Oryzias latipes: one gene and its partners. The protein of the gene in region 3 purifies or fractionates together with the protein of the main gene of each other region. This does not show direct contact. Links are inferred from orthologs where the notes say so. Each region holds a gene or a part of one and is shown on either strand. Other genes may lie near its edges.

What was found. Proteins that work in one complex are often made in the same cells at the same time.
Region 1: the proteins of eps15 (region 3) and ap1b1 purify together in Homo sapiens (affinity purification with mass spectrometry; 3 studies listed by BioGRID and IntAct, with this or other methods). This does not show direct contact. The link is inferred for Oryzias latipes from reciprocal best matches to the Homo sapiens genes EPS15 and AP1B1.
Region 2: the proteins of eps15 (region 3) and AP-1 complex subunit beta-1 purify together in Homo sapiens (affinity purification with mass spectrometry; 3 studies listed by BioGRID and IntAct, with this or other methods). This does not show direct contact. The link is inferred for Oryzias latipes from reciprocal best matches to the Homo sapiens genes EPS15 and AP2B1.
Region 4: the proteins of eps15 (region 3) and gap junction alpha-1 protein purify together in Homo sapiens (affinity purification with western blotting; 3 studies listed by BioGRID). This does not show direct contact. The link is inferred for Oryzias latipes from reciprocal best matches to the Homo sapiens genes EPS15 and GJA1.
Region 5: the proteins of eps15 (region 3) and fcho2 purify together in Homo sapiens (affinity purification with mass spectrometry; 3 studies listed by BioGRID and IntAct, with this or other methods). This does not show direct contact. The link is inferred for Oryzias latipes from reciprocal best matches to the Homo sapiens genes EPS15 and FCHO2.

The regions. Positions count from the first base shown.
Region 1 is NC_019867.2:12,656,883-12,662,040, forward strand, and holds the start of ap1b1 (AP-1 complex subunit beta-1), read right to left. Parts: upstream 3,252-5,158; 5' UTR 3,149-3,251; coding exon 3,122-3,148; intron 1,277-3,121; coding exon 1,216-1,276; intron 1-1,215. UniProt on the Homo sapiens protein: Subunit of clathrin-associated adaptor protein complex 1 that plays a role in protein sorting in the late-Golgi/trans-Golgi network (TGN) and/or endosomes.
Region 2 is NC_019872.2:25,023,404-25,028,587, reverse strand, and holds the start of AP-1 complex subunit beta-1, read right to left. Parts: upstream 3,252-5,184; 5' UTR 3,121-3,251; intron 1-3,120. Other genes in the region: mks1 (Meckel syndrome type 1 protein), read right to left, coding at 5,029-5,132. UniProt on the Homo sapiens protein: Component of the adaptor protein complex 2 (AP-2). Adaptor protein complexes function in protein transport via transport vesicles in different membrane traffic pathways.
Region 3 is NC_019862.2:31,374,499-31,379,381, forward strand, and holds the start of eps15 (epidermal growth factor receptor substrate 15), read right to left. Parts: upstream 3,026-4,883; 5' UTR 2,960-3,025; coding exon 2,849-2,959; intron 748-2,848; coding exon 706-747; intron 170-705; coding exon 80-169; intron 3-79; coding exon 1-2. Other genes in the region: calreticulin, read right to left, coding at 4,368-4,577, 4,870-4,883. UniProt on the Homo sapiens protein: Involved in cell growth regulation. May be involved in the regulation of mitogenic signals and control of cell proliferation. Involved in the internalization of ligand-inducible receptors of the receptor tyrosine kinase (RTK) type, in particular EGFR.
Region 4 is NC_019882.2:10,600,822-10,605,958, reverse strand, and holds the start of gap junction alpha-1 protein, read right to left. Parts: upstream 3,252-5,137; 5' UTR 3,129-3,251; intron 1,346-3,128; 5' UTR 1,330-1,345; coding exon 151-1,329; 3' UTR 1-150. UniProt on the Homo sapiens protein: Gap junction protein that acts as a regulator of bladder capacity. A gap junction consists of a cluster of closely packed pairs of transmembrane channels, the connexons, through which materials of low MW diffuse from one cell to a neighboring cell.
Region 5 is NC_019870.2:5,316,880-5,321,870, reverse strand, and holds the start of fcho2 (F-BAR domain only protein 2), read right to left. Parts: upstream 3,252-4,991; 5' UTR 3,080-3,251; coding exon 3,047-3,079; intron 1-3,046. UniProt on the Homo sapiens protein: Functions in an early step of clathrin-mediated endocytosis. Has both a membrane binding/bending activity and the ability to recruit proteins essential to the formation of functional clathrin-coated pits.

The DNA.
Region 1 (5,158 bases), on a different chromosome or scaffold from region 3:
AAACTTTTCAGCTTATAACATTTGCTTCAAAAGCCAAATGTAATATTTTCAGTAAAATAATGTGTAACAGAAATGGTACAACGATAAGTGGCGCATACTTAAGAAGCGCTTTTCTACGTTCTTAGAAGGCCCACAGCGCTTTACAGTCACCGTCTCATTTACCCACACACAAAAACACATTCACACACTAATGTGTGGCTGAGTTTTGCTGCCAAAATGATAAAACTAGTTAATTTTGATTCTCAAGTTCATACTTCTTTTGAATAACTATCTTTTTAATCCATCCAAGTACTATTTTTTTCATCAAGATAAACCATTTTACCAATTAAACTGGACAAAGGATGGAAATGTCAAAAAATTGGTTAAAAAGTTTCACAACGAAAAGTTAAAAGAAAGCAATTGATATAAAATGTTTGCAGTACTGATGAAATTGCCTTGAATAAAATACTTTTTTTTAAACCCGCCCCATTGATGTTTAAAATCAGATCTTCAACCTCTGGTTATGGTAGCTGACTATGTTCTCTGCATGGCAGCGGCTTTTTCTTGTTTGCTAAATGAATTAATCGTGTTTTTTATTTTGAAACTACAGATTAGTGTTTTCCTACTCATACAACTAAATAGATGGCGGTTCCAGGGATAAAAGCTGCTTCTGAGTAAGGTTCCATCTCATTGTGGGAATCTTTCTTAAAAGATTCTTTTCTGTTCACCATTAATTTAAGGCTCAAGTTTGAACAAGTCATAGTAAAATAAAAGCAAACATGCTCTTGGCAACCCTAAACAGCTGTTACTGTTGTTAATTATCATCAGCTTGCCTTTTCCCAGAGCTTCACGGGGATCCTAAATGACTTTTGGACTTTCTAGCATATGTGATGAAATGGTGGTTTTCAGAACTAACCGACTCTCTCTATACCCAATCGGTATTTTCATAGCAAAATGGTTTGTGCCAAACACAAATGTGACATCAGTGCATTTAAAGTTAAATAGCAATTTAGGTGTGTGAATATTGATAAAGGTCTTCATTATATTCTGGAAGTAGTAAATGTCCATTAGCTCCATACTAATGTTACTTTGTATATATGGCTTTTTAATTGTATGGCTTTTTCTCAACAATTTAGCATCCCACAACTGAGCCAGTAACAAAATCCACAAAAAACAACAATAAAAACTACAATTTAAAAAAAAAATGTGTTGTATTCGATATAAAAAATAGCAAACCTTTTTTGGTGGTGGTGAAGTACTTGGAGTCTGTCATCTTGGATCCAAACTGTCTGTTCTCCTGCAAAACACAGAAAGATGATGATGATGTTTTTGTTTCAATGGAAACTTGCCACATCTCAAAAATAACAGGAAAACCTAGAAGTGCAAGCACATGAAATTAAAAGGATTTCCTGCCTTCTACTGTCCAAATACTGCAGACCTGAGAGGAAAAGAATCAATGGAGTTTGCTGAAAAACCAGAATGAAATGTCTCCTTTAAAAAAAAGAATCTCCCAATCATGATTAAAAGGGGAAAGCGTTTTGGCCCCAGTATTTCCTGGTCAGGTTTCCTAACTTCCAGCAGACAGAGCAACTTTCTCAGGGAGATAGATGTTTGAGAGTTTGTTTAATAAGACGAATTTCTTCAAGTTTGTCATTTCAATTCACAACCAATGAGGTCTCAAAGTGCTCCACGAAAAGCAAAAAACGGACAGTTTATTAATAATGATTATTATAATACAATTTAGTCAAGATAATTCCAATAGGGCCACAATATCTCATATCATATTAATATCCCTATGTTATATAAGTGACCAGTAGATTACATTGCAGGGTTTTCAGTGTAATCTTAATACAGAGCAAGCAAAAGCTAACAGTGGAAAAGAAAATAAACCTCTCTCTAAATAGAAGATTAGGAAAAACCCACCATCATGAAGGCTCTCTATCTGCCATGAACAGTTAGGATTTGAGGGAACAGATAAAGACAGACAAAAACTGAAGGAAATTCTGTTGTAAGACAAACAGGCAGATTTGTAACTGCTGCAATAAGTAAAGAGGGAAACAGATGAACACAAAATCCAATCTGTTATAGAGCAAAATAATGCAAATTAGTCATTACAGCAATTAAGAGGAAGCAGATGAGCACAAAGTCACCAAACCTCTGTTGAAAGACAAATTTGGTTGCAGTAAATTAGGACGCTGCTACCAAAGTAAAATGAATATTAAAAGTTTTTTTTTTAAAAACTGTAATAAAAGTCAGGCAGCATTAAAGATTAAGCAATTTCCCAAAATGGTAAAGCTCACAAACAGATTGGGTTTATTGTACACACTGATGCACCCTTTCAAGAGTCACTTAAACCCATGTGGCATTTTATGTGTACATAAAAAAACACTTTTGTAATAAAATCTCCATCTGGAATGTTTCAAAGTAATATCTTCCTGTTTTGTTTATTTGTTTTTTTTAGCCTTTTCTTGTGTCTTCTGCAAGTTTAAGTTTATAAACCTTCTAGTGGATAAAACAACATGAGTTACGCTTTGTACACATTAGGATTTTAAAATCTATTTTTAATATTGTTTGATATTTTTACTCTCAACAATTTCAAATGTTAACTTCAGATATTTGGTAAAATCGTGACAGTTTGTATTGAAGTAAAGACTTCCTACAAGTAGTGGCCATCTTCATATGAATGAACCGATTTAGGGCTGACGTTATTTAATAACCATTATTTTAATTGTTTTGTGGTGACATTTAGGTACAATATTTGACGTTTAAACCCAATTATTTCAGTTGGATAACAGCCTACAGGTTGCCGTATGGCAAATACATCGGAGCGACGGTCCAACTCTAGTAGCTAATTGTAATTCGATTAATACGACTTCGTCCGTATTAAATCAACACTAACCCATTCAAATAGTTAGTGGGTTGTCTTTGCTAACAAAAATGTAACATGTTTCAGCAGATGCCTTTGTTAGAATCTGTTTATTGAGTCACAAATATACAAAGTTTGCTGCTTAAGTAGCATCGGGCTATAACGTTAGCTTAGTAGGCTAATGTGACGAGGAAAGCAAACTACATTTCTAGCTATCGACAGCGTAAAAGTTGACGCAACAACCGCTAATAAACCGCAGTTAAGTACAATACTCACGCATAACTGATTGGCCCATTCTTGCATTTTTACAGAAAATGCGTAAGATGAATGAGGCTGGTAGAAAAGGCTAAAGGTATGTCGGTGTCGGCTAGCGCGAGGCTACTTCATCTGCAGCTAGCAAAGCTGAAAACTGACCTTCTAAGTAAGGGTTAAGGAAGTCTTTGCCGGAATAGTTAAGCTCTTAATCTGTCGGCCTAATTCAGCCCTTGCCCAAGGAATTAGCGTACCTTCTGGAGCTATAATGAAGCTCACCACAAAAAGAATTAATAGGGGAAATCTCCTCAAACATCTTACCGTTGAAGGCGTAGTACGAGCAGTGTTGGTCTTCGTCCCTCCCACTTGTTTAACTTCCGTATTTCCACCCAGTGTGACAAGTCACGTCAGCTTAGTTTCATTCACGTGCATTCAAGTGATAGGGGGAAAATGTGAAATTTTCATTAACATCTGGTTCTACCAGTTTTTAACAAATCTTAACATTTTTATTCCCATAAAATGAGTGGAGACATGAGATTTGGGACATATGAATGTTCATTTGTTTATGTCCTCATGCAATGTCTTTGCAATGGGAGCGGAGAAACACCAGCTGCCTGTTAATGTATCCCTACAAATTGTTAAAAGTAATTTATTGAGTACTTGTGAACAATAAAATGTTTATTTAACTACAAGTTTTAAGACTTGATTTGGATTTGTCACGTATGACTTTAGACTTGCACAAGCGGGACTTCATAAAACTAAGAAGTCAACAAAATAAATTTCCTTCCTGCCCTCTTAAAAACTGAATTCAATTGTTAACATGTTTGATTTTTTTCTAAATTCATTTAAGCATTTACTAGTCTTGCAAAAAAAAAAAAAAAAATAGAATATTGAAATTGAATACTAAATTTGAGATTGTTCATACTGTACTTGTTTTTGGCAGATCTTTATATTTAATTAATCTAATGTGATCTTATATTATTGTATGCATTACAGCAAAGATTCCTTTTTAAGATTACGAGTAATTACACTGTTATTGTCTTCCTACATTTTTGATGATTATTCTGTTTTTTAATCAATGAATTTCTTTATTTCTGAAATGGGACTGACAAACGTGTGTGATTTTTTGTTATATTGTCTACAATTAATGCGTTAAATAAACAAATCAAATCAATTTAATTTTTTTATTTCTAAACTGCACCTTGTTGAAAACCAACAGGAGCATTTACAGAAATACATAAAAAATTTCAAACAATTTTAATTTTCGGAATGAAACATTTATTTCAATGACAACTTTATACGTTTTTTTTTAAATAAAAGAAGTGAAACGTTGCAGTATTGCTATTTCTTACACACATCGTCCACATTATCCAGCAATCTGTACACCAACATTTTAGCAAAAATGGCATCAAGATAATAAACATTCAGAATTTCCTGACTGTGAGTTAAAGGAAATGAATTTAAAAAAAAAAGGTTCTATACAACAAAGAGCAGGTTAAAAATTTTCTCACTTTACAAGACTGAGAAATAAAAATTCTTCTATGTTTGTCTGACTTCACAGTTCAAATAGAGCTGGACCATTAGTAAATCAAAACACAATCCAGAAAAAAATGTAAAATTGAAACACTCAGAAACACATTTAAAAAGTTCTAATGAAAGACATTTTAAGTTGCTACTGTCAGTGCCTCAATCAAGTATGGATTGTATATTTTTATTAAAAAGGTGTAAAAAAAAAAAAGGCCAATTATTTCTTTTCATTTGAAGAAACATTACAGTTTTTAGATAAGAAAAAATTCTCATTCATTAATTTGTCTCTCCAATTGCCAGGGGACAAAAGTTGGCTATTTAAAATCCCTCATTTTTGGAAAACTTTAAACATTCACTTTTACATCTTGACATAAACATCACTTGATCCCACTGAAACCAGCTTCCTTACATAAATAAATTAGACCAACATCGCTTTCTTAACTCATGCCTTCTTTGTACCTGTGTCCCACCAAAACATTAATGTGGCCATTCTGTTCTTTATTGACCAAACCTTCAAACTAATTAATTTAAACC
Region 2 (5,184 bases), on a different chromosome or scaffold from region 3:
TTTTTCTTTTCTTTACAAACTTGTTTCAATTATTGTTCTACTAAATGTCAATGCCTTTCAGCACAACAAATATCTAAAAAAAATCTTTGAAATCCCTTATTGTAACTTGAATAAAATGAATCATTTTTCTTCAATATAAACTTAATTGAAGGAAAATATTATATACAAAAACTATATCAGGGAGAAAAATGATTAAACTCAGGAAAATCCCAGTGAAAAAGGAAAAAGAAAACAGTGCACATAATCAAAAAAAAACAAGAGCAGAGACAGAAGAAATAAGTAGAGAAAAAAATGGGAAAAAGATGGGACTCTGCCAGTTTCAGAAGAAGATTGCAAAAGGTCATGTCAGGTGAAATAGGTCAAAACCAGGTCAAATTATTGGTGGGAATTTTGCTGGGAAAACGTCACAAGATTTCTTTTTTAAATCACTCCAGTTCAAAAGTGGCATGAGAGCAGTGGAGATGCAAGCTGGAGATGTGGAAGCACTTTCATATATTCTGGGACTGTTCAGCTGTTCAAAAAATACTGGGTTGAAACCCACACACATTTGCAGAAAGTGTTTAAGATTGCTTTTACGTGTACATTTGTGACTGCTGTTTAGTATGAACAAGACATGATTATGTGAATGAATGAAAACGTATTCAATATTGTTATGTTCTGCACTCCAAATACACATGAGAGTACCGTATAAAAATGTGCATATGTTTTATTAAACACTACATATCTTTGTAACTGGACTTGGGATGGATTTAACTTTTTGGATAAAAACGTACTTAACATGCTTGTACTTAACATAACTTGCTGGCAGCAAGTGCAAAAAGCTGCAAAACAAAAAGATGCTACAAACAGCAAACCCCAATAACAGAGGAGTGGGTCACTATACTCACAATATTGACATTATGGAAAAGCTTTCATTCTTAATTCAAATTCAGACAGGTTTTATAAGAAATGGTCAAATTGGACAGACTATGTTAAACCTGTCTGGACAGATTTTTTCTAAAAGTCGACTTTTAGAATATTTTAATAATTTATTATGATAACACAGTGTTTAAGAAAATATATACACAGTTTTATACTCTCATGTGTATTTGGCGTGCAAAGCATAACAATATTGAATAACTTTTCATTCAATGGCATGATCCTTGCCTTACACATGCTAAACAAGAGTCACAAAAATACACCAGGACAGAATCCCAGAAAATATCTCCCAATGCACAACTCTTTTCCACACCAACATATTGACTAAAGAGTCCAGCAGGGTGTAGTTTTTCACAATAAAACAGCCATTGTTTGGTTTTTAGATTGTTTACAGAAGTCCTAAAATGCATCACCAATAGATTTATCAGTAAGATTGGAAGAAAGCCCCATTCATACAACATTTTATTTTACTTTAAAAAAAAAACTTTATTGTACAAAACGTAAGTACAATCCAAAACACAATTTTGCAAAGTAATCTTCAGATATGCCTGGGGAGCATACATATTACATGCATTTTACATAAAAATATTCAGGTTTCTACAACCTTCATACAAACATACAGCTTTTTGATTAAGGCTTTTAGAGATGTTACTGAGATACATTTCAATTTGTTTGATTAACAGAGGGGATAATATAGAAGAGGAAGAAAATTTGCGTTTATGAATATAAAATCTGCCAAATGTAATAATAAGATTACTTATGAGTTTTTTATTTGAGTCCAAGTTTTTATTATGAAAGCCAAAAATTATATATTCAAATTTCAGAGTGAAGTTGGGGTGAATATGATTTCTGATCAATTGTAAACACTTTTTCCAAAAAAATTCTAATTTCAGTACAATTCCAAAAAAGGTGGCCAATTGTTTCTGGTTGTGTTTTGCAAAAGGTACAATTGATTTAATGCATCTTAGCATGAATTGATTGGTGGGGTAAATTTCGTGAATTATTTTAAAAGAAACTTCATTCATTTTATTATTTATCATAAATGTTTGGGTCACACTCCAACCTTTCCTCCAAATACCATCGGGAACAAAACATGTCCAGTAGGTTTTAGTACATGGCACAGAAATGACGTCCCAGAGAAATTACAAGTACTTTTATGTTTTTTGTTCTAGTGTGAGGGATTAAAGCAGATTTTTCCTGTGGTGGTGTCAGTTGCATCCATAGAGGGCATTTCTTCATTCCTAACAGTTGTTTTAAACATTTGGCATATTTCTTTGGAAACGGTTTCAAACACAATGGCATATTCTTTAGAAGTCACAACCAGATTGTATTTAGAGTTGAATTCAGTATACCTTAATAAATGCCCGTTCATGTTAAAAAGTTGGCCCACCAGTAGAATTCTTTTCTCAAACCAATGTGGGGAAAAACAAAGATTTTTTCTTGTATAATATTAATATTTGTTGTTCCAAATAAATAAGTTATGAGGAGAGAACTTGTGTTTAATAGTGCCACCCATGCAAGAACCATTCATACAACATTGGCAGTTTGTCTTTTGCAATAATAAATAAATATGATAGTTAGTGATCTACGGCTGAGCGGGAAATATCGGAGTCTTTACAATAAATCCACAAAGAAACAAAAGTAACACGTTTACCAATAATGAATGATGGTGGCTGCACGCCCTAACTTCTTCTACAACGGAGCGATATGCTGCTAATTTTTGCACATTAAGCAAATTTGTTTTCCGGTTTCAACTCGCCGCTCCGGTTTGAAAGCTAAACCAATAATCTTTTACAAGTTGCGACAACAAAATCGGCATTTTTCACCGTTTGTCCTCTCCGAAACAAAACGTTAGCTAGAGTTGAGCCACAGCCGTTACACTTCGCTAGCATTAGCTAAAAAGGCTAACCATCATCGTCCTTTACACTTCAGTGACGAAGTGTCAAAATGCAAATTTACACAAATGTCAGGGTACTTATTTCGACAGTTTCTTTGCAACTGTATGTGACGCGTTTATTTTCAGTCGAACCTCCACATTGAAATGAATAGCGAGAAGCGGCCCAGTTTCATCACATCACCGACCGACGAACGGAGCTACTCTGCCGCTGGACTGTCACTGTGCCACCTCCCTCAAAAGTATAATCAAAACAAACGTGTAGATATCTACTTGTATTTCATTTTTAACAGTTTCATGTTCAATACCTGGCTGCGGTTACGTGAGCCGGAAAATAGTCCAAGAGGTCGAAGACGTAGGTTGGTCCTGTGCTTGGTGGGGAAAAAGATGGAGAATCGGGATATAGATGGTGAGTTCACGATCGTAGGAAACTGGAAAACTTCCTACTGGAGTGCAGAAAAGTGGGCGTGTGAACATGAAATCAATTTTTTTTTCATGATTTGGAGCACAAACTCTGACCCAACCGTTTATTTTAAAACAAAAATGAAGCTTAATTAATGACAATTTTTTAAGCCATGTTCATGTTGGTGTTTTTATTTGCTAGTTGTTTTGTTGTTTTAAACTATCAGAGCATCTTACTTTTAACAAGTAAACGTGCAAGACTGCAGGTGTTTATATTATTGATAGTTTAAAAGAAAAAAATGCAAATTACAATCTTTTTTACATAGTTAAAGATTAAATTGCAAGCACATAAAAGCCTTTCTAACCTAGGTCAGTGTTGTAAATCCTCATAAAATCAAAGAACACGTTCTCTAAAAATAAAATGCATTAGTTTCTTAACTAAATGACGCTTCACAAAAGATAAAAATCTATTTTTTTTTCATTTGATATTCACTGAGAAACAGCATACAAACAGCAAAGAAATCAATTAAGCTTTATCAAAAGCCCATTAGGGTCAACTACCACAATCCATGAAACCAATACTTTATTTTTCACCTGTAACTTATATACAGTGTGGCTTCAAAATTATAAAAATGACATAAAAAGTTGGGTTTGTTTTAAAAAAAAAAAGGATGTTGCTTTAATTAAAATAACAAATGTATAACAACAATGAAACTTCAAATATTTTGTAGCAAAAACATTTATTTGTAGAATTATATGCAATAAAATGCAAAAACTACCCCAACAAATTAAAATCAGCTGATTTTTTTTTCCTGACAGTAATCCTGAGAACATGATCTCTTTTAGCCAAACTGGCATCGTTTTTAAAATCCTATTCTGAACCAAGCACCATTCATCCCTGTATCAAGTATAGCAAAAGAACAGATGCATAAATTGTGCATAGGCTGATCAAATGAGAATGACGAGATCCTTAAGACCGGCTCTAAAAAGAAGGAGAAGACTATAGAGATTGCTTGATTTGTGAAAAAGATGTTTCAGGAGGATTTCAATTTCTATTTTTACAGTAGACTGTAACAATAGTTTTGTACTGTTAAGGGGCAGATCAATAATAATTTAACTGAGTTTAAATGAGAAAAAAGCTAAATGTCTTTAACTGAAAGTTGGTATGGTGCTTCATGGAACCAGGTTAAAGTAAAGCAGCAGAGGGTCAGGTAAATTGAGATTAGCTCTGAGAAGATCCTTTTGAGGGACATGAAGCAAGAGTCTCTGTTTTGCCCCAAATAGACCCGTTGATGTAGGGAAACGACACAAAGGCTTTCCTGGTTAGTGGCTAATTCAGCTTCATTCTGTTAATCACTAGGCTATTTCTGACAGTAAAAAGTAAGCTTTAGTAGATTTAAACAGCACCAGAACATTTCTCGTATCTGCGTACATCAGTAGGTACTGGCAGAACATGAGCGCAGCAGCTTCTGTAGAGGGCAGGAGGTGAAAAGCAGCTTAGAACTTGTAAAAGAGTTAATTGCAACAAAAAAAAACTCCCGAGTGGATTTTCAACAAGTTCCTTAGCCATTAAAAACTGCTGTGAAATTTGCCTGTAGTTTCTAAGGCAGGTGTGGTCACTTTTTCCACATTTTGGTGGATTGATGTATGTTTTGCATCATTACAACCTGACAAAGTGACTTATTAATCCTTAAAACATGAAATGTTCCACAGATGCTCACTGGACCGGTCACTAGAGAGTCATCTTTGCAAAATTCTGAGTCTGTGCCAGGATCTTCTTCCACTCAGTCCCACTGAAAGTTTGGTTTTCAGTCTCATGCTGAGGATTCCTGTTGGAGTTGGGAACCAGTGTTTATTACGCCTCTCGGAAAACTTTCTCTGGCCTCCTGCATCTTTTTCCTCGCTCTCTGAAAAGCCTCTGACAGAGAAAAACATGAAACGTGTTAAATGAAACTATTATTAACATTTAA
Region 3 (4,883 bases):
ATCTATGGAGAGAGTAAGTAGAAATATTAACAGGTTTCAATCTGTAAATCAGAATCTAACCTGGATAAGTCAAAACTACCTGGCCCAGGACGAGGTCAGCCAGCCCCGACCTCTTCAGGAACAGGGCGGCGTCGGCTGCTGCGACACGCCCGCTGCCAGAAGGATCCACCTGCTCGTGCAAAGAAGAGCCCACGCCAGAGCCGCGAGCGTCAGTCGTGTTCTGCACGTCGTGTTTCTCAAAACTGGGTTTTATTGCAGCGGCTGTGATGTCAAACAACATGCGGTTTGTTTCATCTCCGTTTAGCCTTGCTCTCCTGCCCGCCCCGTGACATACAGCAGCTCAACGCCATGAATCCATACGCCCTACAACTGAACCTCATCGTGGGTTAAAGGGAAACCATCGTCTTCCCTGAAGCTCATCCCTGGGAGCTCTGGCTTGAGGGAAATCATCATTAATTCATGTCCTTTATTGACTGCAGAGGCATGAAAGAGATCAGAGCTCACTGCAACACCAAAGCTCTGTCCTTATGAAGAGACAAACACTAAGGAATATCTCAGGTGAGTCACATGTAACCCTGAACTTTCAAAGTAAGAGCTACAAAGAAAAGGTCTCAACTTTTTGACTTTCAAAATAAGACGTTTTACAAAACCACATAGAATGTGTAGATTGATATGTCCACTGTGAGATACAGTACATGTTCATACCTGTCGATAGTATTTGTCATAGATGGGATTTCCACTGGAGAGCTGTTCAAGAAAATTACACAATGTTAGAAAATGTTCTTATAGCCTTAAAGCAGATTTTCATAAACATGACAAACACAGACACTTAAATTCCCAATAGAGCAAATGTTCATTGATCCACTCCCATCACCCTTTGATCTGTTTTCACGATGTTTAATTACGATTACGTCGCTTTTAGCCTAAATTTGAAAAAGGACGGAAGTTTATTAGAAATTTGCCTCAGAGTTGTAAACGGGACCATTCCAGCGACACCTCCCCATTACTGAGAGCTCTCTGTTTACACTCTCTCCCGCTATCACAGCCCCCCCATACCCCAACCTGACATTACCGGTGCAACAAAAATGGCGGGAAATATTTGAGCTACCCGGCTACCGTTTCAAGCCAGATTTTGGTTATCCTTATAATTAAGGAAAAAGTAAAGCATTTTAAATTTTCACTATGCAGTCTAAACCCTGAAGGTGGGGTTGCAACAAAGTACAACGCCTGATGCTTGATATTTATAAAAAACATTAAAGGTTCTTCAGAGGATGGCGGTGAGAGCCGACTGCAGGACACATTTCCTCCACCAAAGCTCATAATCGACGTGGAAAACAGAAATACACAACAAGCTGTCACGGCGTAGACAAAACTAGATTTATCTTTCCTCTAGAACTTCCTAAAAAAGAAAAAAAAAAAAAACTTCTTTCCTCTGTGTGCTGCTGGCCCTGAAGAGGAAACGAATCAGCATTTCCTTTTTCGTGAGGCCGAAACAGACGCAGAGGCTTTCAGTTCACAGGTGAACTGAAGGAGGAGAGCGGAGAGCGGTCGGCGTCTCATGGGTGAACTCAACAGGACACTCAAAGCTGCAGAGACCCAGACCCAAAAAGCGCCTCCAGACCCCAACGCTCTGTGGCAAAGGGGAAGTGGAAGAGGCCGGCCGTCAGCGGTTATCGCTTAGCCTTCTTTAACGGATGATTTACTGCCAGATAGCAGGCAACACAAGCCTCTGCCTCCACAATGGAGGCGCTGGGACAGTTGCAGGCTGTAACACTGTGGTCATTGTACTGAAGACCTCCAACAAGCACTGAGGGGAGAAAAGGCTGCATCATCCTGTCACTCAGAATAAAAAAGAAACAGCAAAGAGCAACACACTCAGGGCCAAAGGCACACATGGGGCCACGTTTGGGGACTCAAAGCTACATCCATGTGATGAACTCCTCTGTGGAGGGATGGCTGCAGCCGGCAGACACCTCCTCGGTTGCCACAGGCAACAGCTCCTCAGGTAACTAGAGGAACCTCCTCACCTGACTTCTGCATGCTAAATAACTTGCTTACAGTTACACACAGGCAGGACCCGCCCACGGTGACAGCTGCGTTCTTCATCACAGAAGCAACAGGCTGTGTGTGTGTGTGTGTGTGTGTGTGTGTGTGTGTGTGTGTGTGTGTGTGTGTGTGTGTGTGTGTGTGTGTGTGTGTGTGTGTGACAGCACACACATGGATTGTGTTCGGGCTCACTTCCTCTTTCCCCCCCCCAGCTCAACCAGATCGGAGTTTGTCCGCTCGTGAGTTAACGGCGGCTAGCAAGCTAACAGTTAACGCCGTCCACTTCCGAAAGGTCAGAGGGGGTCTAATCAGTCCCACTTTACTGCTAAAAACAGCCCAAATCAGGTTAAATACCCAGTCTAACTATACAAAACAAGCACATCCACGGAAAATCGGCATTCAACTAACTCTGGGCGGCAAACTTAGTGACTTAAACTTGGTGTTTTTAGCAGAACTAAAGGAGGCGTCAGTGACCCAGAGCCGCTCCACCAGACCAGGCGTCCCGTATTCCCAACTCTGTCGGGACCGACCACCCCAAGCAAAGGCCGGGGCCAAACCCCTCCGGGCTCCGTCAGCCTCGCGTCGTTGATGAAGTTTAATGAGGCAGCCCGACACTCACTGGCGAGCTGTTAGCCGACATGCTAGCTAGCTAGCTACGCCCTTACGCCGTCCCCAAAGAGAATCCAGAAACTTTTCAGAGTCACAGCACGACTAAACTTCCAAAAAGAGACGCCGCGGGGAAACAAACTCCCCGTTTCCATGAGGTCACTTGAACCAACACCGCTACAGTTTCGGAACTCACAACAGTCAGAAGCCAAAGAGCTCCGGCGCCGTTACATTTGAGTTGTAGGAGTGTTACCTGAGTGAGAGACAGACTGGCAGCCATAGTGTTTCTGCTTCCCACTGCCTTCATTCTGCTGTGCTGCAGGGCGCAGACGGGGCTCGCTGGAAAACCCGGAGCTGGACCTCCGCGCAGGAACGGGCGCGAGGCGGGCAGCTTTCAGGGAAATGTGACGTCAATTCACGTCGAACATGTCAAAATAAAACACCCTAATTATGAATAAAATAAAACTGAATTGAACATAACATAATATTAATGTTTACTGTATGTATCCGTGCAAATATATTTATTATTAGGGGTAATCATGTCACAAATTTAACATCTTTTATTTTCTTTATTTTTCAATTTATTAATATCTTCATTAAATTGATATCAAAATTAATGTATTTTTCTTTTTATTGCTTGAAATAAACATTCATCTACATTATATTGAGTTGTTAGAAAAATTTGGCATTTCCAATATGAACGTACATTTTTTCAGAGTAAAAGAACAAATGTAAACATTTAGTGATCCCTCACATTTGCCAAGAAAGAATAGATTTTTGCCTCATCTTCAATCATTTTTCAAGTTTTGAATTTCAGCAGTTGGATTCAACATTTTGTTAGCATGTATCATGTCAAATTAAATAAAAAACGAGTGAAATTTAATTATAAAACAGTTTAAGCTGACAATACTCAAGTCAACTTCCTGTATTGACAACAAGAGTATTTAAATTCACACACAGGGAAAAAAGGGTTTAATTCTTCGGTGGCTTTTATTGGACAAAGCACCTTTCTACTGCAACAGTTGAGAAATGTCTTTTCCTTCCATTAGTACAAAACGAGTCTTACAAAAAGGAGCATCTTTGAGAGTGTTTGGGGTACAGCAGTGCAGAAAAGTTGAAATTATGAATGAATTGCAGTTCACATGAAGAAAAAACAACCTGATAAGATCTACTGCTCCTGGGCTGTTCTTAATGAAAACCACATCTGAGAGTTCAGTTCATGCGCAGCGACAGAAACGGTGTCAAACAGAAACTGATGGAAGCGACTGCATCTGTTTCCACTCCAGATTACCCCCCCAACAGCAGTAGATCCTCTCCACTCTGTTTAAATAGGATCCCCCATTTTTGGACAAAAAACAGACAAAACAAAAGACAAACAAAACAGATGAGGTAAACAAACATTTCTACGGCACGGTCCATCTTTTGTTTCTGTCACAACTTCCTAAAAATCCAGGTTCCTTTTAAAATAAATCCCATTTTTCCTGTTCTGCTGACATTTCTGATCCTGACATTCAATAATAGATTGTGTTTTTCCAATTTTCCTAGTACAGATAGTAGTGATGGCTCAGGAAAACAACAGAAATGCCCCTTTTGACCCCTCCCCCCCTTTTGTAAACAAATGAAAAGTCTGTCCCTCCCATGGGGAGTCAGACGCCGGGGTCTGCCTTTTCCGTCTCCAGCGGCCCACTGATGCACAGTCTGAGCAGTTTCTGAGCTTACAGCTCATCCTTCACCGCGTCCGGGCTTTCGTCCTCCTCTTCCTCCAGTTCAGGCTCCTCTCCGTCTTCTTCCTCTTCGTCTTCCTCCTCCTCCTCCTCCTCCTCCTTGTCCTCTTCTTCATCCTCATCTTTCCTCTTCTTATCCTCCTCCTCGCGCTTCTTCCTCTCCTCTTCGTCTTGGCTTTCCTTCATCTTCCTCTCTGCATCCTGAAGGGAAAAAAAAAAAACATGTTAAAAACAAAAAAAAAACCTGAAAAAACAAAAGAGGGAATTTTCGGAACGTTGGAGCTCCGATTATGGGATTGGTACTAAGGAGCAGGCAGATCACCGTTATGTTTAGTCAAGTCTCAGAAGGAGTCGTGTCAAAACAAGGTTAACCGGAGATTCCACTCATCTTAGATGTCATCTTCAGCATATTAAATGAGACGGGTTAATGTGATGTCATCCCAGCAGCAGGCAGTGACCCTCAGCTGGAAAAACGTCCAACCAAAACAGTCACCTTAGTTTTGCCCC
Region 4 (5,137 bases), on a different chromosome or scaffold from region 3:
TCTGACTGACACACAGTCTCTATCGTGAGGACAGTGATTGAGGTTAGTCCCACCTTCTTCATGACCCTTTCTGATCAAGTGTTGCCTGATTGTCCGCCTGCAGCCTCACATCCTGTCGGCCAGGCAGAACGGTAAGGTCGCCAGGGCCCGTTAGACATCCAGGTCATCGGGTCGGGCTCTGCTGCTCATCCTGCTGCTAGCCCGGCTGCACGGCCTGGGGTCCATCAGCGCCAGGGGCTGCAGTTCGTGTCCCGCTGATGATGTGAGTTTCTTGTGCTCATGGGTGTCATCAGGAAAGTCAAAGGCTTGTGCGTGGGAGTTTGAAATGGTACTTCCCGCACCAGTTTGACCCAGCCGGTTCTGCTCCGTAGAGTAGTTGGCCCAGTTCTGCTCATTGGCTTGCTTATTGTAATTCCGGCAGGAGCCGGTTCCACGCTCCCCTGTGGCGAGCTTGTAGCCTGGAGGGGACATGGGTGAGATGGGGGCGGTTGGGGATGAACAGCCGTTGTAGTAAGCGTACTTTGTGGTGGACAGCTCTTTGGGGGTGGGGCTCAAAGTTCCTCCTCCCCCGGGGAAAAGCCCGGCCTGCTGCTGCTGCTGCTTTCCCTTTACGCGGTCTTTGATCCTCTTGAATAAGACGTAGAAAAGCTCGATGACGTTGAGCATCAGAGAGACCAGAGAGACCACCAGCATGAAGATGATGAAGACGGTCTTCTCTGTGGGCCGCGACAGGAAACAGTCCACCCTGTGAGGACACGGGTCCCTCTCGCAAGTGTAGACGGCGTTCAGACTGAAGCCGTAGATGTACCACTGGATCAACAGGAAGCCCACCTCAAACAGAGACTTGAAGAAGATGCTCACAATGTAAGTTCTGAGGAGGCCTCCCTTCATCTTCACTTTTCCGTGCTCCTCAATGCCGTACTTCATTTTTTTTAACTCAATTTGCCTAAGCGGGATGTCAACATCACCCCCATCATTCTGAACGGCTTTAAGCTCCTCCTCCTTTCTGTTGAGTTTCTGTTCCTTCCTGTGCAGATAGAAAACGTGAGCCAGGTAGAGCAGCGTGGGCGTTGATACAAAGATGATCTGCAGCACCCAGAAGCGAACATGGGAGATGGGGAACGATTTGTCGTAGCAGACGTTTTCACAACCAGGCTGCTGGGTGTTACACTTAAAAGCCGACTGCTCGTCACCCCAGGCCGACTCCACTGCGGTACCCAGAACCAGGATCCTAAAGATGAAGAGCACGGACAGCCAGACCTTCCCACCCGCAGTAGAATAGGCCTGGACTTTGTCCAGCAGACGACCCAGAGCACTCCAATCACCCATCGTTGGGGAGTGTTAGCTGGTGGAAGAAGAAAAGAGAGAAGTTGAACTGACAATGTCGTGAAGTCAAACAAACTTTCAGTGTTGGCTGAGTTGCAGCCAGACGTTGGATAAAAGCAAAGGAGAGTGATAAGATCTTACAGGAAACATAACTGAGAGTTATTACTTTGGACGGAAAATTTGTGGCTTCAATTCACTTTTCCACTCACTGTTCTCTCAGTTTGTTCCAACTTCTAGTTTTTGCATAAAATAGTGTTGCATTATAATCCGTTTTCTTAATTTTAGTTGGGTTTTGCTAATTTACAATCATAAATCGGATGTGGAGATCCTCTAAAATTAGGTTTTCTTTTTTGAGAAACATTAATATGTTTGATGGAAACAATTAATTCAATTGAAAGAACTTTAGTTTTTTGTTTGTTTTTTTGAAGGATTATGTAATTAAGGAGAACTTAAGGGGACCAAACGAAATGCTTAATGACGCAACAAGCTAATCCAATTAGTGGAGCAGGGGACAAAGAGCACGTTTTTGTTCTTTTCCTTAAGAGCTTCACTTTAAATCCAGACTGGCTTGGAAAAAAGGAATTAAAATGGAAAACACATTCAGATTCTGCTGAATCAAAGCGCTGTGGAACTACTCTCATCATCTTGTTTTCTATTAGACACTTTTAGCAGAAATGAAGGCGACAAAACTTATAAATTCAGACAGTTGGGTTTTAAAACTGATCAGAACTTTCAATGGTGGAGCCACAAATCAAAAAATAACTCTAACACTGAAGGTTCTGGTTGGTTCCAGCTGACTGGGTCCCTAAAGGTCTTCAGGTCTTCATCCTGTAAAAGTTTTGGCGCTTAATGTGCATTAATCCCTTTGCGCATTTGGGTGCAAATATGCATCAAACCACTTCTGTTACAAAATTACCTTAATAAAAAAAAAACTGGAAAAGAATGTAAGCGTCAAGAGCCAGAATGTGGCCCCAGAGGAAAGACAGAAAGACCAAAAAAGATGCCGACAGCTAACACAAGGAGGCTTGGTTGAGCGCCGCCCGAGCCTCTGTGCTGTGACGGGGTTCAGTCGGGGCATCAAGAGCCCAGGAGAAATCCTGCTGCAATACAGATGCAGAAACAGGAGGCAGAATGTTGTTTTTTCATGTGACTGATACAACAACAGGTCCTTGAAAGGCTTTCAGATACTCTGACTGTCAGACAGAAGCACTGGAGGTGCATCATGTAAAACCCCAGCTGTAAATCATGAAAAAAGAGGATCTGCAGACTTTACTGACCTCATGGAAACATCAGGTCAAAAAAAACAACCCAACAGGACATTAAATGCTGGTGCATGTGACACATAAAAAGATTCTCAGAGTGGGCCTCACAAGAAAGACCTTTGTGGATGAGCAGGAAGCTGCAGGCTGGTTCAATTCTCTGCATGTGCTCTCACTTATCTGGAAGCTCTGCAGGGTCCAACTCCTGAGGAGTCCGGGAGGAGAAGAACAGTTGCTGACTGTTAGGAGACACAATGTCCCGCCACTTTCTGCATGAATGAGTTCAGAGAAAGCAGCACAAAGCGCTACAGAGCTTTGACAAGGTCCTCTGGAGGAGCCCAAGGCTCCTCTCCACCACACAACCCACATCCACTTCAGAGGGAACCACGGAGAAACCCGTCCAGAACCGCTCACCTGAGCGCACACTGAGAGGAGAAAGTGTCCTCCATCTATCTGGTCCTCAACAAGAAGACTGGTGAAGATGTTGCATTAAGAAAGAAAGAAGAGTTGCCTGGTTCTGGTCAGGACTGTAGTAGAACTCACCTGGACGTTCGGAGAGACCGTGTCCGCCGTGTCTCAGTCCTGTGGGGAGGGGTTGGACTCGCGCACCGGCCCCGCAGCCGAACTGAACCAAACTGTCAAAGTTACTCTATAAGAGGAGGTCCAGTCACGTGACCACATCCACGTCAAGAGCCTGTGGGGGGAGGCGCGAGAGTGCGCGCGCGCGCGCGGGGTTGTACGCGCAGCCGCTCACCTAGAAGGTTGGAAGGGCCAGGGCCGGAGTTAGTCTTTTCAGGGACCAAATCAAAACACAGTTACGTTTTTTTTATTTTTCTCTTTTTTCCAGTATTATTTAAACATTAATATAATTTCTGCAGTGATCGAACGTATAAACTTTAGATTTAAACTATTTGTAAGAAGAAAAAAATGCAGGAAGACAAAGCTGACAGGTCCAAAACCACACTGATCCTGTTATTTTTAACATTTAAAAACTTAGGCCAACATAACTGGAGTTGTGATATACTGTAGCAAATATGTGGGTAAAAAAATGTTGTGCCATCCATTATAAAGAATAACTAATAATATAAACTATTAAACTGTGGGCTATAATCATCTCAGTTTCCTCATTGTTTAACAGAAAGTCACTATTGCAGAAGTTGATAGAAAGAAATAATTCCTACATTTGGGCTCATTGACTAGATCTAAACCAAAAGAAAGCATTATTTATTTAACTCTTTTTGAGAATGAATCAAATCAGGAGATTTATGAAGATATTTAAAATAAATATAACTTTTTCCCATTAATTTAAAAAGGGAGGTTGCTAACAAATTGCTAACAATTAAAGAACTTGAAAAATATGTAATCTCTCTCTCCCTCTATCTATCTATCTATCTATCTATCTATCTATCTATCTATCTATCTATCTATCTATCTATCTATCTATCTATCTATCTATCTATCTATCTATCTATCTATCTATCTATCTATCTATCTATCTATCTATCTATCTATCTATCTATCTATCTATCTATCTATCTACCTAATCTTGAACTATTGGAACTGATTTTAATTTCCTTAATCATGATCTATTTCATTTTTATATGGTTTCATTGTTTTTCTTTAAAAAAAAAAAAACTAAAGAAACTACTAAAATGAGCAGCAAAAGGTCTTCCAGATAAACCTTGCAGGTCCTGGAGAACAGAACTGTCTGATAAAAGGTTCCTGATCATGTGATCGGTGTGGTGACATTTACCAACACTGAATGGTCCCTCTGAGAAATCACAGTTAACTGAGTAGCAGTCAATAGCGCCACCTAGTGGTGGAAGTGATTAAAAACAATCAATTGTTAAAGTTTATCCACCAATAGAATAGAATAGAAAGCTTTTCTTGTCACTGTCCACCTGGACAATGAAACTGGAGTAGTCTCCATTTTAGTGCAAAAGCAAATCTAACAAAGTATAATATAAAACATGTCAGTATAAACAATGTAATATAACTATATGTATATTTATATATTTAATATAATTACATTGTAATTTAATTATTATTTTCTTTATAATAATGTGCAGAGTGATATGTACAGATATAAACATGTCAGATGTGCTAAAACAGCATGGAGGGGGGGGAAGTGTTGACCAGTTCACCTAAATAAGCACATGTACATATACACATACATAGACATATACACTGGCAAGTGCTGTGGCAAATTTTATCTGGGTGTTTTGGATTTGAGTATGGTTTTTGCCTTGGGAAAGAAGCTATTTTTGAGTCTGTTTATTTTAAATTGGATGCCTCTGTAGCGCCTCCCAGAGGGCAACAGGTTGAACAAGTCTGAGCCAGGGTGTTTCCTTGATGATGTTTTGAGCCCTGCTGAGGCAGCGTGTGGAGTAGATGTCAGTCAGGGAGAAGGTGTCCCATTTGTCTTCTGAGCTGTCTCTACGACTCTCTGCAGCCTCTCCTTGTCTGCAATGGCAGCTGCCGTAATGTTATGCAGTATGTGAGGAGGCTCTTGATGGATGAGTGGTAGAAGGTCAGGAAGTGTAGACACTGCT
Region 5 (4,991 bases), on a different chromosome or scaffold from region 3:
CCCACAATTGCATCTCTACATGGATGGGATACCCCTCACCCAGGGTAATTAGCAGCAAGCAGGGCAGAAGTAAGCAGAAAATGCTGCTGCAAAGTGGATATGGACACAACTCTCCCAGGTCTAACAAAGTTTGTTTACTATTTTCTTTTGTTGAGCTACATTTGAGGCAGCAAACACAATTATTTCTAAGTAGCTTTTACCACAGAGCCATTTAATAGACTAGTTCACAGATACAGCAGTGTGGCCTTAACTCGTTAGCAGACCCACAAACGGCGTTACTACAGGTGTGATTCTGACTTTGAATGTGGCTAAGTCTTGGTTTTGCAATTGCCGTGTTTGCCTTTGGCAGTCAGATCTGTGAACTGGTCTATACAACACCTGAAAAATGACTTTGACCTGCAGCAGGTGATTCGAGAACATTAAAAATCACCTGTTGGAGGGCCCCATTTCCCAGTGTTATAAATCTGATATCTAAACTCATAACCCCAAGACACACAGGCTGTAACAGATATACAAGCGATGGGGGTGTTGGAAAGATCACAGAAGGGCTGATCAGCTTGTAACCCTCCTTGTTTAAGGGGAAACACAAGCAGTGAGGGTAAATAGACGCAAGAAACCATATCAGTTTCAAGCACAACAATAGGATCTTGACTATTTTCTGACGGATCTCACAGTTCTCCACAAATAAACACAACTTTTTAACAGATCTTCTGCTAAAGCCAAAAATGGAAAGAAATATGAATCGCATCATCACTTTCAAACACGTTTCATGCTTGAGTCTTCACAGGCTGTTTCATAACTTCCGTACAGACGATGAGTGACAGCCTATTAGACCACACACAACATAAAGACTACAAGGGAGAGGGGGGGGGGGGGAGCCATCCTGTTGGCTGTATCAACACTGTTTGCTTATCAAACTGCCATCTTATTTTCCCATGACACTCTGCAGGCTGAGTGACGACAGATTAAACATGAACTCGCAGGGACTGCCTGCAGCTAAAGCCCTCCATGCACTGGGACGTCCAAGCCCCTCCGCACATGCCACACTCAAAGTGAATGGACAGGGAGACACAAAAAAGGAAATGAAACTGTCTGGAAATCAATCCGGAGGGCGGAAACGTCGCAGCTGCTGACCAGTCAAGTGCTGCAACTTTTGAGGGGAAAAACAACATAGCTGGAGCAAACCTGGCTCCTGAATCGGATCATTTGTTTTCTCAGCTGGTTAGGAATATTTAACATTGCAGATTAAAGATTTCATAGAAGGAAAAGATGTATGAACAGACCACAAAGTGTGGAAATAATCTGTGCAACTTCCTACTCCTTTTGCAAGAAATAAATCTGCAGCAAAAATGTCTAAGTCAGCCAGATAAATGTGTGCGCTCTAGCAGTAAAGATTTGCAGGCGAGTCAAACTGGAGATGGATGTGTCTCCTAATGCCAAGTATGTGCATTTGTGTGCCCTGCATGCTAAACGCACAGCTGATTGCTGCCATCACTGGATTCTCTTGTGGCTTGCTGCGGAGCACAAAGAGTAGATTGAAGCATCAGGGGTGAGGGCTCCGAAGGTTTCCATTCGGTTAATGATGCAGTCTCATTTAGAGAAAAACACTGGATAACATCACTGTATCGTCTAATTACATAGAGACGTCTGGCTTAAGTTCAGTTCTAGAGCTGCTTTGTTATTTCAGCTTCCATTGAGTTTTTTTTATCCTTGAATGCCGGTATCTGAGGCCTGAGGTTACTGGTTTGCTGACTTTAAGACCCACTCCCATAAAAAATCATGTTTTTGGTGTTTTTAGCATGTTCCTGTGGCATTTTTCTGATGATGGAGGACATATATAAAGGAAATTAAGCTTAAATTACATTTCGGAGTATTTCTTTACTCAAATCGTTGTGAATCAGGAGCTGACAAAAAAATGCTGTTTGAAAAGCAGCTAATGTTGTCAGCTTGGGTGTGTCAGGGGCTGTAAGCTAGCGGGAGAGAGTTTAAACAGAGGGATGATGGGAAACGAGGGCAGGCGTACTTCAGACCAACAGTCCAAATAATTTCCGATGAACTCCTGCCGCTCTGCAGAAACAATATCCTAGAAAAAGACACAGTTTTTGTTTTGGGCTAAAAACCGCTTAATCCTAATTAAAAGATCCCTGGGAACTCTTTAATAAAAGATTTTAAAAAAGATAATCAGAGTTGAACTTTAAACACAGAAAAGAAAACAACATTAGTCCAGATTCAGATCAGCTTATCTTCAACTGATCTGTGTAAAAGAGCAGGTTTGGCAACAATTAAATATACAAAAAATATATCTGTCTGTCATGGTAGGAATGTAATAACACAGTCATAAAACCTTCCCTAATGTTACCTATAATTGTTTTTTTTTACCAAATGGCAAATATTCAGCATTAACAACACATACAAGTTGTATAAATGCCAAGTTAGCAATGTAAGATTAGCTAAATGAATTTAATGAGTCCCTAGGAAGCACTGAAAACAACAAGTGTAACCTTTAAACCTGCTTTAGGAGGGCCACGTCCAAAAGTAATACATGTTTATAGATGACCATTAGCAGCAAATAGACAGACCCATTTTCTGAGTAAAAGTAACGCGCACTACAGTTAACTTTGTGTCTTTTTAGGTAGCTTTAAACTAAACATCTGGTCTCTCCCCAAAGCTTAGAAAATGACGCGTCAAAGGGAAGGCTGTGACTGGCAGATTAGGTGTCCAATCGCATTCTTGGAATTGACCGTAAACATTCCAAGAGATCCAGACGCAACCAATTAATGGAAAAGGGGGGTGGGCCGTTGGAGCTCTAAAGTTAGATTGGCTCATTGAGGCCCAAACGAAGGTAACAGCCGAAGAAAACTAGCGATAGCCGCGGGGCTGACCGGTTAGTCTGTCGGCCCCTGAAGGGAGCGTCTTGCCCGCCGGGGCAAGTGTCCGGCTGTCCCCGCAACGTGAACACGACGTGACGGACGTGACAGAAAGGGAAGTGTGAAGATCAGCGCCGGTGTAAACACCGTGAACATCAAAAATTAAAAGTAGGACCTACCCAGAAATTCTCTAGGAAGTAGGGCGTTATCATCTTGCTCTTATCTCCCGTGCCGCCGCTCTTGAGTTAGCTGTATTGGAGGTTCTAAGAGCGAAAATCATCCGCCGTCCTGGCCCGTTTGTGTTGTGTCTGCCTTTCCCCGTTTTCCTCCTCTCCCCTTTCTTCTCCCTTTCCAGACTCCACCTCCCCTCGGCTCTCTTCTCCTTTGGTTCCTTCCAGCGCGACAGAGACTTCGAACAAAACAGCGCAACCTACGGCCGAGTCGAGCTCAAACCAGCGACCCGAGATCACGTTGGACATCAAATAAATAACCTCCTTGATCATATTTTTCTTTTTTTCGATACAAAGATTATAAAAAGAATGTTTACATTAATTTGACATATAAATAAACTCTCGAACGGTGGTTTAAAGTTAACGGTAGAACGCCAGCCGTCTTTTAAATCTCACAGACAATCAAAAAGGTTGACCAGTCACCGTTGCTATGACTACGTAGGACATATGGATTTTCGTTGGTTGGGAGTTCATGGCGAAGCATGCAAGGTAAATCTTAATAAAAACTTTCATTCTCTAAAATGTAAAATGAGGAATCAACGTAAACCACCATGTCATATTAATATTATTTACTTATTTATTTACAAACTGTTGTAGCTGTTGTTGTTTCTCAGTTGTTTTTTGTTCTTTAAAGGTTGCTTTTGCTGTGTATTTTTACTTATTTATTTGTTGTTTTTTATTTTTTTATTAAATTAACCTTTTCACTTCATCCTCTGTAAATGCCACTTCTTTTTTGCTGTTTGTGGGAAACAGCAAAAAAGAAGTGGATCGATCGATCGATCGATCGATCGATCGATCGATCGATCGATCGATCTATCTATCTATCTATCTATCTATCTATCTATCTATCTATCTATCTATCTATCTATCTATCTATCTATCTATCTATCTATCTATCTATCTATCTATCTATCTATCTATCTATCTATCTATCTATCTATCTATCTATCTAATATTTAAAATGATTTAGAAAAGTAATGACATATTTGACCAATTCTTTGATGATCAGACAACATTTCTGTCATAAACAATTTTTAGTTATATTTAATCATTTTTTCATTCCAGGAAACTTTGCAAATCTGTTTGCCTCAGCAATAACACTGTTTAAAAATAAACAAATATTAAGTAAATACGTAATTTTATTTATCCCTCTGGTTCTTTTTCAGTAATTCTGAGAAATGAATGATTCTGTTCAAAGTCAGTTTTTACCAAGAAATGTTCCCACTATAAAATGTTCAACTAGTGAAATTGTATTCTATTCCAGAGACACATGTATATAGATTATTTTTATTTTTAAGGGTATATATATTAAGATTTTGTTTATTTCATCTACATAAGGGCATTCATACTCTTCCACCCCCCTGGTGTGCAACAGTACAATTTCCCCTGTAGGCCTGTATAAAATGTTCAGTTTCACTAATTTTTCTTTTAAATTACCAAAAAAAAATTTGGGACAACTGTCTGAAAAAGTAAAAAACAACAACATTTTTTTTTGTTTTCGCTATAATCATAGAAGCATATTGGCTCCAAAGGTTAGGTTATTTATTCCTGTTATTTATTCCGCTGTATAAATAAAAGGTGCAACATTTTATTTTTTATTTATCAGGATGCCTTTTTTTTAAATAAAATTTTCCATCCATCCTTTTCCGCTCATCCGGGTCGCAGGGGCAGCAGTCTAACCAAAGATGCCCAGACTTCCCTCACCCCGGCCACTTCCTCCATCTCCTCAGGGGGGACCCTGAGACGTTTCCAGGCCAGCTGAAAGACATAGTCTCTCCAGCGTGTCCAGGGTCTTCCCTGGGGCCTCCGCCCAGAGGGAAATGCCTGGAACCTCCCCAGGGAGGTGTTCCAGGAGGCATCCCGACCAGGTTACTGAGCCACCTCAGCTAGTTCC